Linked DNA regions of Schizosaccharomyces pombe. Changing the gene in region 2 together with the main gene of any one other region gives a genetic interaction. Each region holds a gene or a part of one and is shown on either strand. Other genes may lie near its edges.

Region 1 (7,499 bases), on a different chromosome or scaffold from region 2:
TCCGCAGAAATATCCATGGAATTTTCTGCCCCACGATGAACACCACCTATACCGCCCGTTGCGAATACGTCAATGCCAGCTGCTCTAGCCAAGATCATAGTTGCAGCAACTGTGGTTCCACCATTGAGTCTCTGGGAAGCAACATAAGATAAATCTCTACGAGACACTTTATATGCTGTTTCACCTGATTTAGCAAGTTCGCTTAACTGAAATTGTTCAAGCCCTATAGTACATTGTCCATTTAATAGAGCAATTGTCGCAGGAACCGCACCCATGCTGCGTACCTTGCTTTCCACTTGAATTGCCAATTCTTCATTTTGAGGATAAGGCATTCCATGAGTGATGATAGTTGATTCTAAGGCAACGACTGGTACGTTGTTTTTAAGGGCTTCTGTCACTTCCTTGGATAAGGCCAGCGGACTATATCTTCTGCAAAGTATATTCCTCAATCCAGGGTTTGGATTTCTCTTCAGCCTTCTGAACCCCAATGGAATACGTGAAACTAACCGACAACCTCTATTCATAACGATGAGCATATAAGCAAGATGCTAAGAAAAATAGTGATAAATAGGTAAATAATATAGGACAAACGAAGAAAGCGTATATCAGATAATATTAAAATCGTGAATAAATCGTACTATACGCGCTCACTCCGCGTATCTAATAAACGTAAAAAGAATGAGTGGAATAAAGTTAACCCAAAATTGAGATTTAAAAAGGACGTATACTATTAGGAATAAAAGTTTAAGGAACAAAAAATGAAAATGCCAGAACGATCAGACGACGTTTTTTATATATAATCTACCTCGGCAAATCATATCTAAACATGGTGGTGTCTGATAATAAATGTACGCTTTCCCCATGGAAAAGCCGATCACAAAAAATGTTACTTCGCCGATATATGTCAAGATAACTTTATAGTAAAATGTAAATAAAAGGAGAGCAGGCAAACTGAATACTTTGCCGGCGCTCCGAATTTACTGATACAAAACTTGGAATTGAGTTTTTTTTTGAATTCTTTTATTTATTTTGGTGTCGAAAACAATTCATATTAAAGCAATAGACTTGAATTTTGAATGGAGTTGCAATAAAATGCAACTCTATTTAAAAAAGAACTTCTTTTATCCAGGAAACCAATGCCATGACCCTTTTTTATCTATTGTGTTTAATTGTGAAACCATGTTCTGATTAAAGTATAAATATTCATTCTTCTGAAAGGAACTGAATTTTTTATGATGTTTGCATGGCTTAATTTGTCGAATTGTTTCATTATTTTTATAAAAGAATTTTACATTATTTACTATATTTTTATTCTAAGTACTAAGAGGTTTTTAAGCTGACTGAAGTGTAAAATTACTTTACCCAAAAAATTATATTACTATCATTTTTACAGAAAAGATAAAATAAGGATCAAGATTTGCCAGACTTTTGAGTTTTACCATATTCACATAATCCAATTGACAGACAAGTTTACTATAATAAAACAAATGTATATCTGTTTACAAACTATTGTTGTTAATTCCCTCCTTCAGGAAAAAATGTATCACTTCATAAAATGGTTGAACTTAGGTCTATGACTAAAAGATATTAACAGCAAACTAAGTAGTGCTATCTTGTTCTGAAGCATATTTTTACAAGTTTTATTATTCAATCTTTTAATCTCTTTCTCCCTTTTAACAATGTGCCTTGTATATTAGGATCAACCTAGATTGTTTAATATTTTCTAGTATTTTAACGAATTGCTTTTTTACTTTTTTCCATTTAACTTCCCCTTGTTTTTTAAGACTTTAGTGTTTATCTTGAAATTTACTTGACATTATACGCATGACATTTACCTAAGGAACCCAGCAAAAGCCTAGTCTTCGTCGGTTTTGACGAAATGAGTCAAATACAAGATTTAAAAGATGAGAATGTCGAAATGGATATTGATCCACAAGAACAAAACGAAAAAAAGCCTTTGCTTCTGGATGAATTGACCAAATTTACGATTTTACATCCCTATAATTATGATAGTCATATTAAACTCATTGAAGAGTTAAAGCGTCTAGATAAAAAGAAGGAGTTGTCAGAGGCTAGAAAGACTTTTCAATCGATCTTTCCACTTTCAGAAGGTATGTCAATCAACAATCGTCTAGGTAAAGCGTGTTGAGGCGAATTCCATAGACTCGCAAAAATTATTCACTAATTACTTTAACTTTGTTAATCTTTTGACAAGCATTTATTAATGGTTTTTAGATTTGTGGGTAGATTACCTTTTAGATGAGTGCAAAAACTGTAGGACTTTAGACGACTATGTGAGGATAAAAACATTGTTTGATTTGGCAGTTCAAGATTATCTGTCAATCAAAATTTGGTGTATGTATCTTGAATTTACGCTAAACTTAATGGACACTTCTTCTTTTGAACAAGAACAGTCTGAATTAAACGGCGTTATTACTTTGACAGATGCCCATTCTCTTTTTGAACGTGCATACCAAACTTGCAAATTTCATTTTTCTAAAGTAAGGAACTAAAAATTTTCTTCATGATAAAAATGTATTTACTAATCAATGTTTACAGAGTCAATGTGTTTGGACGTTATATTTGGAATTTTTACAGACGTTCGGTGATGCTCTATTTGAGGGAGAAGAAGAGCAAGAAATTGTTTTTAAAAACAAGATATATGATTTTCATATTGATAGATTAAAACTTCCACATGAGCAGATTGAAGAAACGTTTACTTCTTTATCAACGTTTGTCACAAATAACTGGTCTCCTTCCGAATATGAGGATGTTATGGTGAAAAGCAATAAAGTGTATGAGACTACACTTAAAAGAAATGCAAAAATTTTTAATAAAGAACTATTGTTAAACAGCGCAAATCATTCTCTCGAAGCGTATATGGATTTAATTAATGATGAATCGCGACGCTCAACAGCTGAGTTACAATATATAACAACTCTCTATGAGCGTGCCATAGTTTTGTATCCCCTCATTCCGGAACTCTGGTTGCAATACACTGCCTGGCTTAGTAAAGTGGATTTTTCTTCTTCTCAAGCGTCCAGTGTAGCAGAACGAGCTACTCGTAACTGTTCATGGATTGGGCGTATTTGGTCCATTAAACTGACTTATATGACGCTTTCTGGAGCATCCACATCGGCTGTCTGTGAAGAGAAAGATCGATGTTTGAATTCAAATTTGCTCGTAAATTTTGACGAGGTTATTGATTTTTTTAGCGGATTTTTAAAAGCATGCCTATATTTGTCTTCTAATGAAGATAAGCCACAGGAATTTTTGAAACATCAAATTCATAAAGTCGAAGACTATTTGCGAAAAAATCATAAGGGATCAAAGGATGCAAGAATGCGCATTGAACTTTCAAAAATTTATTTATATTCAGAAATCTCTGATTTTGAAAGCGTAGAAAAGTGCTGGTCTGATATGTTTCATGATTTTCAAAATCAGGCATTATATTGGATTTCTCGATACATAAGTACGATGAAGTATAACCCAGAGCTTGCGGCTGAGACGTTAAAAAAAAGCCTTTACAAAAACGTTGATCAGCCTCAACTTCTGTTCCAATTTTATCAATCCATTATGGACCTTAATAATGACTGTTTCACAAACACATCACATTTATATGACGTTTTAAATGCACAGAGGATTAGCTTCAAACGTCAATTGGATTCTTTTGCTGAAGAAACGAAGCAGACTGTCGAAAACACCGAACCACTAAAAGTGCCTCAAGCTGATGATACAGCCGCCCTTTCAAAGAAAAGAAAACCTGGGCAAGAAGGTGATGTGTTCAAAAAGTCGAAACCTATTGAGCAACACAGGAATAGGGAAGAACTTACAGTTTTGGTTACCAATCTACCTTCCGATATAAGCGAAAATGAGTTGAAAATTTTTTTCAAAGATTGTGGTAATATTATACGCATTTTTATCCTCGAAGACAATCAAAAGGATGTTAAAGTGGCTCAGATTGAATTTTCTGAAACCAGTGAAGTTCTTGCTGCTAAAACAAGAGACCTTAAATCGATAAGGGGTCATGAAATTTCTGTTCAAATTCATGTAGACACGAACCTCTACGTTACCAATTTTCCTCCGACTTATGATGAATTAGATATAACCAAATTATTTTCTGCATATGGTAATGTGGTTGACGTCCGTTTTCCTAGTCTAAGGTATAACACGAACAGGCGTTTTTGTTATGTACAAATGAGAAAGCCCGATGAGGCACACAATGCCCTGCAGTTACATAAGAAGCTATTGGAAGAGAAGTATCCTATTCAAGTCTTTATATCAGACCCGCTTCGGCGAACTCCTAGAAGCGGTGCTGTCTATGAGGGTAGAGAACTCTACGTTACAAATATTGATTTTAAAGTAAATGAAAAAGACGTAGAAACATTTTTTAGGGATTATGGGCAGGTTGAGAGTGTTCGAATACCGAAAAGATTTAATCAACATAAAGGTTTTGGATATGTGGTAATGACTACAAATCAAGATGCTGAAAATGCACTTTCTGCTGCTGGAAAGCAATTGGGAAATAGAGTTTTGAACGTTGTTTTGTCGAAGCCTCGAGAATCTCTAGAGAAAACAAGGGTATCATCCAATGACAACCGAACCTTAGCTAAAAGCTTTGAGACTACTGAGTCAAATAAAATGTCAACGCCAAAAAAATCATTCGAACAAATCAAAAGCAAAAGCCTAGGAGTCACTAATGTCGACGGGACTGTTAACGAGGCTAGACTTAGAAGTTTATTCGAAAGCTACGGAAAGTTGTATAGAGTTGTTCTTCATCCTGAACATGAAGGTGCTGTAGTAGAGTTTTTGGATATTCATGATGCGGGAAAGGCATCCTTGGCATTAGAAGGACATGAAATTGGTGGCAGGTTACTACACATTACCACTGTCAATGAAATGATGCACAATGTCCCATCTAGTATGAATCATTCCGATTACAATACCTCTGCTACACGCCCACGGCGACTCGGAAGCCGAACGTTTCAAGGTTTCAATTCCAATCATTCCAATATAAATTCTAAGAAGGACGATTTAGACGATAAAGAAATGCAGATAGATGCACCTAAAAGCAACGATGATTTTAGGAAAATGTTTTTAAAATAGTCAGCAATAATTAGATTGAATGATTAAAAAAATATTGAAAACCTAACTTTTGATAATTTTGATTTATTAACATAAAAGACGAACAACACCTCATGTACGTGAAAGACTTGGGAGCGGATTTCCAGGTATTTCCACTATTTTTAGATTAGCACTATGATCTTTGGATAAGATTGCAAGTGAAACCAGATTTGTAATGCAGCAACATAATAAATTTTTTAAATAGTTGGTTTGCAAGAAATACGGGTTGATGAACTCATTCTGTTCAAAACCGGATTTTATAACATTAATAAGGCTATTCTTTGCAGCAGTGAATTTTTCATTAGATTTGATGATTAAATCATCCGTAGAGAAATTTTGAAGATTTTTGATTATGCAATCAGCTTCCGAACGAAGTAGTGGCTTGGGTTGACGCAAATTAATTAAAGGACGATAATGGGCCATGTAATATGACTCTTGAATTTTTTCATCAAGAGTAAATGAAGGAGTTTTAATGATATTCAACCGCATACAAAGCACCGTCAGCTAAAATCGTTAGAATAAAAAAGAAGCGATAAGCTTTATACATACTAGTAAATAGCCAGAATAGGTCTCCTTTATAGCATTCAATATTCGATGCAAATATGTAACAAAGGTTTTGGCCATAGGTGGGGTATTACGATCCTTTCCATGAAGCTCTAAATGAGTCTGGTGGATAGAAAAGACATGATCAAGCACAGCAAAAAAATGGGGCCATTGATATGGTTGGTGAAGTTTTTGTTCAAAGGAAGAAAGCAAGATATGCTCAATTGCATTTAGCTTAACATGGTAAATAAATGATGAAAACGGTCCATTACTTGGTAGGCTTTTTGCTACGAATTTCAAATCAAGCGCTTCAGCTTCAAAATGAGCAACGGTAATTTCAGGAAGTAAATTTATTAGATTACGGCGGAACCGACAGGGATTGTGGGAACAAATTCGGACAAGGTCAACCATGATATTAGTTGAATGAGCAATCAAAGACTCAACTAGCGGACCATAGGCTGATGAGATAGAGTTTTTTTCGATTACTGTACGGGTGTTAGGATTATAAAAATTTGAAGGAAGCCCAGAAAACTCACGAATACATTCTAACATATACGAAGTAGGTTGATCCCTTAGATTAACTGCATTGTTAGCAGTGATAAGTGCTTGAAGGGAGGAACGGACGTAAGGCTCTGGAGTACGATTCAATCTCGTAAAATCTAAACAAAACTGATATACTGCCAAGGAAGAAGCGAGAGTGTGGCTATTCAAAATCAAAAGCATATCATCAGCAAAATACAAAATTCGTTGATAAGAATGCTCAATGCCAGTAGGAGGAATATTCCTCACAGGAGCTGTAGCAACTAATTGGGCTTGGACGCGAAAATCCCAATATTGCTTTAATATGCTCTCCTTGATAGATGAATCAACTACCGAAACCGTGTTCTGAATCTCGGGTACCAAATTTTTGATCAGATGGAGAGCATCGATGGTGGTCTTAATATCACTCCTTTCATACACTCGTAAAATACCAATTCGAAGTTGTATTCTATTGAGAATTCCCTCGATAATTTGTCGTAACTCGGCAGAAAATTTTATAACCTCGGAAGCCAAATATTCGATGCTAGATTGCAAAAGATAATTGAGTTTTTCTATGGGGTAATTTTGAAGAAAGGACATGTGATATGAAAACGAACTAATGTCTTCCTCGTCATATAAATTTCCCATCAGAAATTCTCGATGAACAATATCGCAACATTTAATAACAGCCAAAACAAAAGGGAAAAGAACGATGTCAGTTGTATTCCTTCCGCTACCACTGGAGAAGCCACTGTCACCCACTTGTGAAATAGGCGACTTGCAAATGGAGAACACATGGGCACTACAGAGTAAGCTCTCTGATAAGGGGGATCCATAATGCCACTCTTTTTCCGCAGAGACAATTAAATCCATTAACGCTAATATTTCCAAGTAAGAGAGATCACGTGAAAAATCTACACGAAGTGGCTGATAATCAATCCCACTATCCATTTTCGGTTCCATAATTTCAAAGGCACTGATTGAATCCAATAATGTAAATTTTGGATCACATACTAGCTGTTCCTCTTTCAGAGATTTCGTGGCTTCAAAGTAAGACTTTGTACAGTCGACATATCCAGCGTTATCAACATAACCTTCGTTCCCTTTGGCCGGTTCCACATTTCCAATCTTCACATTTCCTTGCATAGAATTAAGCAATGATAGGGACTCTTTAACAGACATAAAATCGACAAAACACCCCTATATTGACCAATTTTCTATTGAACGTCTAGTTTATGGGTTAATGAAAAGTGTTACTCTGTAAGTCACAACAAAAATTCCACGCATAAAAATGCTTGTTCAATAACATTTTC
Region 2 (8,811 bases):
TTGTTCTAGCTGTGAATAAATTAAATTCGCGTCGCGTCCTTTAACGTTACGTTGTGATATTTAGCGTACATCGTGCTTACAGTGTTAACCAAATATAAGCGAGTTCACAAAAACATTGAAGCAGATGGAAAGTGTCAGCTAAGAAAAAAAATAGGCTAGTCGTCTTTTCAGATATATTGAAGAAATTTGCTGGATGTTGATGATTGAATAGGCTTATAATAAATTAGAAATTTAGTCTTAAACTTTCGTATATTCACCAGCTCTGTAATATTGGTAAAAAAGAAAGCGATTGTAACGATCTCTTGCAATTTACACTACTAACTTGTTTATCAGTACAGCCCCAAACTGACTGACTATTCGGGAGGAATTGTTTTAGCTACTGATAGATATAAAAAAATGTAAATGGCTGGTAAAGGCTCATTTGCGAAAAATAAATAATAAGTATATGTCGACAACGGCAGGATTCGAACCTGCGCTCCCAAAGGGAATCCGCTGGGCTACAGAATAGCAGGCGAACGCCTTAAAACCACTCGGCCACGTTGTCTTCTTGGCATTGAGACCGAGTTAAATAATATATAATGTGGATATTAAATGAAAGGAAATTATATTTAATTGCCATGAACAACAGAGCAAAAGCACTTTTACAATCAGTTTTTTGAAGTTGTTACTGGAATTCAGCTTTTATGAGAACTCTTTCCAAGGACGTTTGTGTTGCAAGGCTGGATGGAGACATTTATATTAAGCACAGAACCTATTTTGTAAGCAGATAGTAGTAACTTCTACGAATGAACGAAACGAGAAAATACAGAAAAATAATTCACAACTTAATTGAGGACATAAAATAAAAGAAAACTATACTGACAAGTTAACTCACAACCAAACTACTTTACAAATTTTCTTCAAAAGCAAACTTAATGTTCCTAACACATTTTATTAACAAGAATGAATGACAGTACGGTTGACATCTTGAAGCAGATATTTTTTTGAAACGAATACAACTTATTATCACATGCGAAAACTAACATGAACGTCGTCTTCGGAATTAAAGGAACCAAAAAAAAAAAGCAGTTTACAAAATTAACTATAAATAATTTGTAAAAAAAAAAACAAAACGGGAGGGCGAGCAAATCATACAAAGGGGAGCACACATTGAAAAGAGCAAGAAAAAAAGACAAAATTCTCTCTCACTTCTCGTAAAACAATATCAATTTTAAGCGGTGGAAAATAAATACAACGGAAGCAGGAAAGACGGGAAAGGGGAATTTTAGGGAAAAACTATAATTAAAAAATAGCATATGCGAGATTAAGGGAAGAAACAGCCAACCTAAATAGCCGGAGCTTGAGCCTCAGATTCAGCTCTATACTCCTCTTCCTTTTGAGCCTCATTTTGAGCTCTGTGTTCTTGCTCCTTTTCGTTGGATGCGGAATCGCTAACAGTTGGAGAAGTGTATTGAACGCCACTTGTAGTGATTGGGGGAGGCTCGTCAGTAGAGTCTTTGTAATAATATGCACTTTCACCAAGTTCAATCTTATCCAAACCGAGAACCTCATCCTCGCGTGAAACACGAAGTGAAAGTCCTGGAATGTAATTCATAACAAACAAGAGTGCACATGAGACAGCGAATGAATATGCGGCACAAGAGACAGTGTCTGCAAGCTGATAACCAAGTTGAATGTAATGGTGAGTAATCCAACCACCAGTGTAAGCAGTACCACTACCATCCAAAGCTTCAATGTAATCAGCGGCAAAAAGAGCGGTAAGGATATTGCCAACCATACCACCAACACCATGTTCAGCAAAGATATCCAAGGCATCATCGACACGGATGATTTTCTTAAGGTAAGTAGCAGCATAGCAGAAGACAGCGCCTAAAGCACCAATGACGACGGCAGCCCATGGAGGAACGAAACCGGAGCCAGGAGTAATGGCGACCAAACCAGCGACGGCACCTTCACAGAAGCCGACGACAGACCAGTGACGGTTCTTGGCAAAATCGATAACACACCAAACAATACCACCAACAGAAGCAGCAAGATGTGTAACGACGACAGCCATGACACCACGCATGTTGGCAGCAGCGGAAGAACCACCGTTAAAGCCGAACCAACCAAACCACAAAAATACGGTGCCAAGAACGACGTGGGGAACGTTGTGTGGGCGATATTTGGTAGTACCATGGTCACAACGCTTTCCAATTACGATGGAATAAGCCAAAGCAGCCATACCGGAGGAGATGTGAACGGGAGAGCCACCAGCGAAATCGTAAGAGCCCAACTTGTTCAACCAACCATTAGGATTCCAAGTCCAAAAGGCGATTGGGTCGTAGACGATGGAAGTCCAGAGAAACATGAAGACCATACAGGGAAACATGCGACCGCGATCAGCGGCAGCACCGATAGCCAAAGCGGGAGTAATGGCGGCAAACATACCTTGGAACACGCAAAACAAGATGTCGGGTACACTGGAAGCACCGGAAGAAGGTCTACCCAACGTTTGGCGAAGACCGAAATTGGCGAGGGATCCGATGTATGGACCACCCTCGTGAGAGAAAGTAAGCGAATAACCCCAAAAGAACCACTGAAAGGCAACAATGGCGACAGACATCATTGACAAAAACAGCATAGAAATGGCACTTCTACGACGAGCCAAGCCGGAGTAAAAGAAACCGACACCGGGAATCATGATAAACACCAAAGCGGTACTTGTGAGAATCCAGGCAACATCACCATTATTGTAAAATTGATTAAGATTGACGGTCATGGAATCACCGCCATTGACACCCGAAGGGGTGGGAGTGGCATCGGTAGTGGAAGACATGATTCAAGAAGTCTTGTCTATCTATTAAGAAATGAAGAGAGACCAACACAACCCAAAATAAAGGGGATTAAAAAAATTACAAACAAAAGAGGTTTGTTGGCGAAAAGAAGAAAAGTAAAAGTAAAATAAAATAGTATCGAGACTAATAAGGTATGTATAAATGGAAGGAATTTTTCTATAGAGACAAAAAAAAAAAAACACCTAGGAAATCAAGGACCCAAACGATAAAAAGAAAACACAACAAATTATATATATATCGAACGACCAAGAAGAAATTAGGGGATCGATATTTGAATATTGGGGAGAAAAGAAGAAGAAAAACACTCGAAAAGAAGAAAAATCAAATTTCGAGAAAATAAGTAAAATTAATAAAGAGAAAAAAAAAAGGAATTAAATTATTCTTCTTTTCCTTTGAACTTTGAATTATTTTTGTTTTTCAAATTTTTTTCTTTCTTCTATTACAAAACAAAAAAAAGAAAACTGTATCAACCACCCAAAAACCGATGACGATAAAATAAACAAATGCACGCTAAAGCAGAAGCAGATGTAAATGTAAATGCACGTATCAACAACGAGAACAAAAATTGAACCAGCGAATCCAACAGACTGGAAGTATGAATGAAAGAATAAAACAAAAACAAATATAGAGAAATTTGAATTTGTAAACTACCTAGCTAGCAAATATGCACGCACAAGAGCAAGAAATGCGTAAAATTCAAGTTAAAGAGATGCACTGCAAGTCAGGCGTCAAGATATGCTCTAAGGTTGGAATATCGTTAGATTTAAGGTGCAGGGTGAAATAGGCCAACGTTGGTTATCCGCGTCTCAACCGTACGGTAGGGGAGAGAGTCGGCGGTTTTATATGCGCGCAGATTCTAAGCATCCCTAAAATCTGGTGGTTATCAAGTTTGATAACGGCAAAAATGCAAGGACGCAATTGGACAGCAATATTTTTAATGATTGGTTCAAAGTAACGATCGAGATAAGCAGAGATCTATATCCGACGCAATGATTGGACCAAAGGCGAGCAATGATTATGTAAAGAGATTAACTTAAAGCTTTAGTGGGCAATAGGTAACGAGATAAGGGTATTTAACGATAAAAGAACAAATTCCTTAACCAATCGGACGACTCTGTAACCGAAATCAACCGAACAGAGTTTAGAATGGGTAACGATGTAAGGGTGGTGTAAAGGTGACAAGAGCTGTTTCGGCGGGCGAGCAACAAGGCAATGACAATGACAAAGACAAAAGTAGAGAGAGAGGAGAGAAGATTAAAGAGAGAGAAAAAAGACAGTAGAAAGGAGAGAAAGAAGAAAACAAGTAGAAGTAGAAATAGAAATGGAAATGGAAATAGAAAGATGAAAAATAAAAAAAATAAAAAATAAAAAAAGAGATGCTATGAAAATATACTTCAACAGTTTATTCATTCATTCATTCAAAAAAACAGAAAAAAAAAATTTCAATTTTCCATTGTTTTTGACGTTTCAAAGTCAAAGGCAAAAGGCATTATTGATATGGCTTGGTTTCGCAGGAGGTAGGGTAGGGTAGGGTAGGGTATGTGGTAGTATAATATATGATATGCTAGCTAGTATGGAATATGTTGTGTGCTTAGTTGATATATGTTATGTGCAACTATGATTTGTGCTAGTTGATAAATTGCTATTAAAGGAATCTCTGGAATCGCTTTGATAATGTTTTGTCGTTCGATCGGCTCCTCATCCTTGTTATGACGGTTGTTTTTCTTCTTTTTCCTTTTCTTTTGTTTCGTCCGGCCTATCCATAGTGTCCTGCGACGATCCCGTTCGGATACATGGAAGTAGTTTAATATTCGTATGTGAAAGGAAGGCAGGGAGAGAGAGAAGGAGGGAGAAAAGAAGGAAGAGAGAGAGAAGAGAAAGAGACATGCAAAAAAGAGGATATTCATTTAATTTTCCTTTTTTTTTTTTTTTTTTTTTTTTTTTTTTTAATTTCTTTCTTTTTTTTTTCTTTTCTCTCTCTTTAATCTTCTCTCCTCTCTCTTTTCTCTCCATCGTTCTTTCATCTAATCAGCTCTGCCCTTGTTTATCATCTCTAATAAATTCTTTGATCTTTAATTTGTCAAACGCTAACATGATGAATCATTCATCTCTACCTTGATTTGACTTTTCTTCCCCTGTTTTTTTAAATTTTATTTGTAATTTTCCACTTCCCTATCTGCTTGTTTGTTTGTTCTTGTCTTTTTTTTTTTTTTTTAATAAATTTTTTTTTTTTTGGTTTTCGATTTTTTATTTTTTTATTTTTTAATTTATGTTTATTTTTGTTTATGTATGTTTATCATTTTATTACTTTGAATTTGTAATATCATTGCAATTGAAACGCTTGCAAAATTACCGCCTCCTTCTCATACTTTCCTTATTAATCAATCATCTTTTTGTTTTCCGACTATATTGATATTTTTTTCTTTCATTGTTAATCGACTTGTTGTCTTGCTTCATCTTGGTTCCGCATTTCTCCGTTCATCTCGTTCCGTTGCATGAAAAAGTTCTAGTTCTGGCGAGAGCACTAGAAGTTTTCTAATTTTTTATTTTTTATTTATTTTTGATCAAAGAGGAATCCCAAATCCTATTCTAATCCTAATGCCAATCCTACTCCTGATCCCAAGTGCAAGTGCAATACAATCCCTAATAAAGTAAACTCAAGCAACTTAGAAAATGCATTCTTCAATCTTCAAAATAATACTTCATAATACGCTTTCTACTTTTTCTTTCTAATCCTTTTCCTCCCTTCTAACCGCTTTCACTACTAAAATTGTCGTCAATTCTATTTATTTATTCATTCCATTTTCCTTTACTCTTTTCTTCCCTTTTTCCAATCCACACATCTTTTCCTTCTTCTCCCTACCGCTCCTACAATATCTCCTTATAAGACAATGCAGTGTATCAATCCTTTATTCCTTATTTCTAAATTTTGGTAAGGTAACGTACTGGGAGTATTCTATCACAAAAAAGGTTGCAGCGGAGCAACGACAATAGAAGCATAAACGCTTAAAAAAACAAGTTGGGATTGTCACACTATTTGCTCTTTACGCGATGCATCAATGTATCCTTTTAAAAAGTATCAAATTTAAAAAATAAAACCTTCTCGACCTTTTTCGTGGAGACTGAAAACAAATAGCATTGAGGATTCGAGCCTTATTTATTAATTATTTTATTTTGTTCTATTTTATTTTTCATTTCAATTCCTTTTGCACAAACGTTTTGTCGTTGTTTGGCTATAAAAAGTGAAAGAATTTGACACTTTGTCGCCCATTTCTTTGCATCGCTAACCACCACTATTCATCCTTGGCTTCTTTTCTTCAAAGAACAGTGTTATGGGATGATACTGATAATCATCATACTATGATCATAAGATTTTAACATCTATTTTGTCGACTAGCGTTCCTGCAAATCCAGCTCTTTTGACCTCTATTCCTTAGTCAGTAAATGAGCGATTTCCGCATAGCTATGATACTATACGATATCTTGTTGACATCCTAAAAATATTGATTGACCATTAAAAAAAAAATCATGGACCTTTCCTACAAGACAGTTGATATGGTAGGACACAAGGAACATCAATCAAAGTGTATTTAATATGTGATGAACTAACGTCCCGCACCCTATACACATTCAAATGCTATTATTAAAAAAGGAAAATAGTTGGAATTAATCTTGACTCATTAAAAGCAAAATTTCATGAAACACTGCAAAAATAATTTAAAAAAAAAGTATTAAAAATATCCAATCCAACTTCAACTTTTCTGATTTCATTATCAAATCATCTCGCAGTACTGCATTCAATTGTCATTCAAATTTTACTAAAATTTTTCAGGTAAATACATCGGACAAACAACTTAGTGACACTTAAAAGAATGTGTTAAAAATATAATGCGATAAAGCTGGAAAATATGAACTATCGCTTATATGCTTTTTTGCGTTGGCCATTTTCGTAAAGAAAGTTTTCCAATTATAGAGATGTTCGGAAGCACAACATTAATAATGCAACTAGACTTCGCTTTCAACATCCATTTCCCCCAAGGGAATGTCATTATTATCGTTGGCACCTCTAATCGCATTTGCTAGCCCCATCATCGCATTTCCTATCCCTCCTAGTCGGGTAAGTAAAAAATCATTCATACAGTTGGTTGAATACACATACCTAATATAAAAGCTATACCATTCCTGATAGAGTTTCGTGTTCTTATGAGTGCACCTGGACATTCTGGCATGGTTAGAATAAAGTAAAGCAATATTTAACGAACCCATTTCGCAAAGAAAAAGAACATTGCCCATAATAAATAACACAGAGGCTTCAATTTCACAACCTATCCGTTCAAAATGTTTACCACGTAAAAACATCGTACCGTTTAGTACCAACACGATACCACTTTGTAACAAAAGCACTTTTGCCAACTTAGCCAACGTACGCTCGAATGTCCAAAATGGAATACAAACTGTTTATCAGCGTTTAGCATTGTAACTTCACTTACCAGATGATACAATTAAAAGTAAAACAGCCGAAATAGTGCATGTAGAACAGATGAGTGCCTTGTTTAAGATTAGATCGCCGGATTTGATGTAAACGAAGAGTATACAACAAATGATTAGCCAGAGTATCCAAATTATAATCATCATCTCTCTTCTTATGTTGAAAAGGCCAATAGAAATCACCTTTACACATTTTGCCAAGGAAATTACAGTTACTTTAACTGCCTTGACCCAAGTTTCATAGAAGTCTAATGAGTTAGTGACTGAAGGTAAGATTACCCATTGTCTCACTTACAAGTCAAGAATATTAAAGCCAAAGTGCAAACAAGACACCAAAATCCAAATAATGTCCATTCTGCTGCACCATAATCCTTAAAGAAAGCGTCCTTATACGTTAGATAACAAATTGCGAGTACATTCAGTACATAGATTGGTGTGAATGATATTAGCAGTTTTATCAAGAAAGGGGAAGAATTATCTGTCGACCTGGAAGGATTGTTTTCTCTATGTGTGTTAGGAGGATTATTTACAAGTGCGTGATCTGTTTAAATTAATATGATTGAAATACTTTAGTAAAGAAAGAGCATGTATCAAATTGTGTGCATTGCATGGCCGACTGTAAACAATGACCAAAGCATGCAATTTGACAAGATGGCAAGTTTCAACTTTCCATTGAGTAATTCCTTTCTTATTGTTTACAATTCTTACCTGAATATGGAGGTAATGCGCCCTCTTCCTCCGAATCATATTCTGGGAGTGGTCCTTTTTCCAAATCGATTTCATGATCTGTCTTCAATTCATCTTCTTCATCTAGAGGACTTTTCAAAGAAGTGTAATTATTCTTCATTTCATCAAGATCATTCTTTATTTAATAAAACACATGCGCGAATTAATTGCTATGATTGCGACAAACGAAACAGCAAAATCAAGAATATTCGCTCTGGAGTTCAATTTCAGCTGTTCAACATAAATAAATGAATAATACTCGTTTCAAAGCAAACTGTTTTTTCAATAATAGCAAGTGAAAAGTAGAATTCCAAAACTCATTTTAATGTAATTGCTTCTGACACATTTATTTTGTCACTGCCCTTTTTATTCACCCCAACTTAGATTTCCTTAAACGTTTTTGAGAAGCAAAACGTTGTAGTATAATTATAATGTCAGTACGCAATTTGGTATCTGCTTTAACGATACATAGCACTGCGGCGAGATTTCTAGCGACTTACAACATAGCGGTAAGCGGTATGTTAACTAACAATATTATATTTATTGTTATAAGAAGTCTATTAGTATCGGTCACCGATATAACTCATAACTGAACTGAGGAATGAGGTTCAGTGTGAATGATATTATTAAAATTCTCATAACAATGATTAATATCGTTGTTCGTTACTATCGCATACACACTCTTTACTAAATCGCAAATAAAACTCACTGTAGTTCTAAGCCTGGTTAAATAAATAGTTAATCGCGTGTCTGGCAACTG

What was found. A genetic interaction does not mean that the proteins touch.
Region 1: mutations in amt1 (region 2) and prp24 together harm fitness more than expected from each alone (negative genetic interaction), as found in Schizosaccharomyces pombe (one large-scale study listed by BioGRID).

What each region holds. Positions count from the first base shown.
Region 1 is NC_003423.3:4,133,588-4,141,086, reverse strand, and holds prp24 (RNA-binding protein Prp24), read left to right. Parts: upstream 1-1,848; 5' UTR 1,849-1,879; coding exon 1,880-2,111; exon of another isoform or gene 2,112-2,235; coding exon 2,236-2,501; exon of another isoform or gene 2,502-2,559; coding exon 2,560-5,106; 3' UTR 5,107-5,127; downstream 5,128-7,499. Other genes in the region: SPOM_SPBC1861.05 (carbohydrate kinase), read right to left, coding at 1-536; naa35 (NatC N-acetyltransferase complex subunit Mak10), read right to left, coding at 5,197-5,628, 5,674-7,368.
Region 2 is NC_003421.2:2,063,813-2,072,623, reverse strand, and holds amt1 (plasma membrane ammonium transmembrane transporter Amt1), read right to left. Parts: upstream 3,646-8,811; 5' UTR 2,819-3,645; coding exon 1,325-2,818; 3' UTR 917-1,324; downstream 1-916. Other genes in the region: wtf meiotic drive antidote-like Wtf21, read right to left, coding at 6,843-6,946, 6,997-7,059, 7,100-7,291, 7,328-7,573, 7,621-7,866, 8,034-8,172. UniProt on the Schizosaccharomyces pombe protein: Transporter for ammonium to use as a nitrogen source. Under ammonium limitation acts as an ammonium sensor, generating a signal that leads to pseudohyphal growth.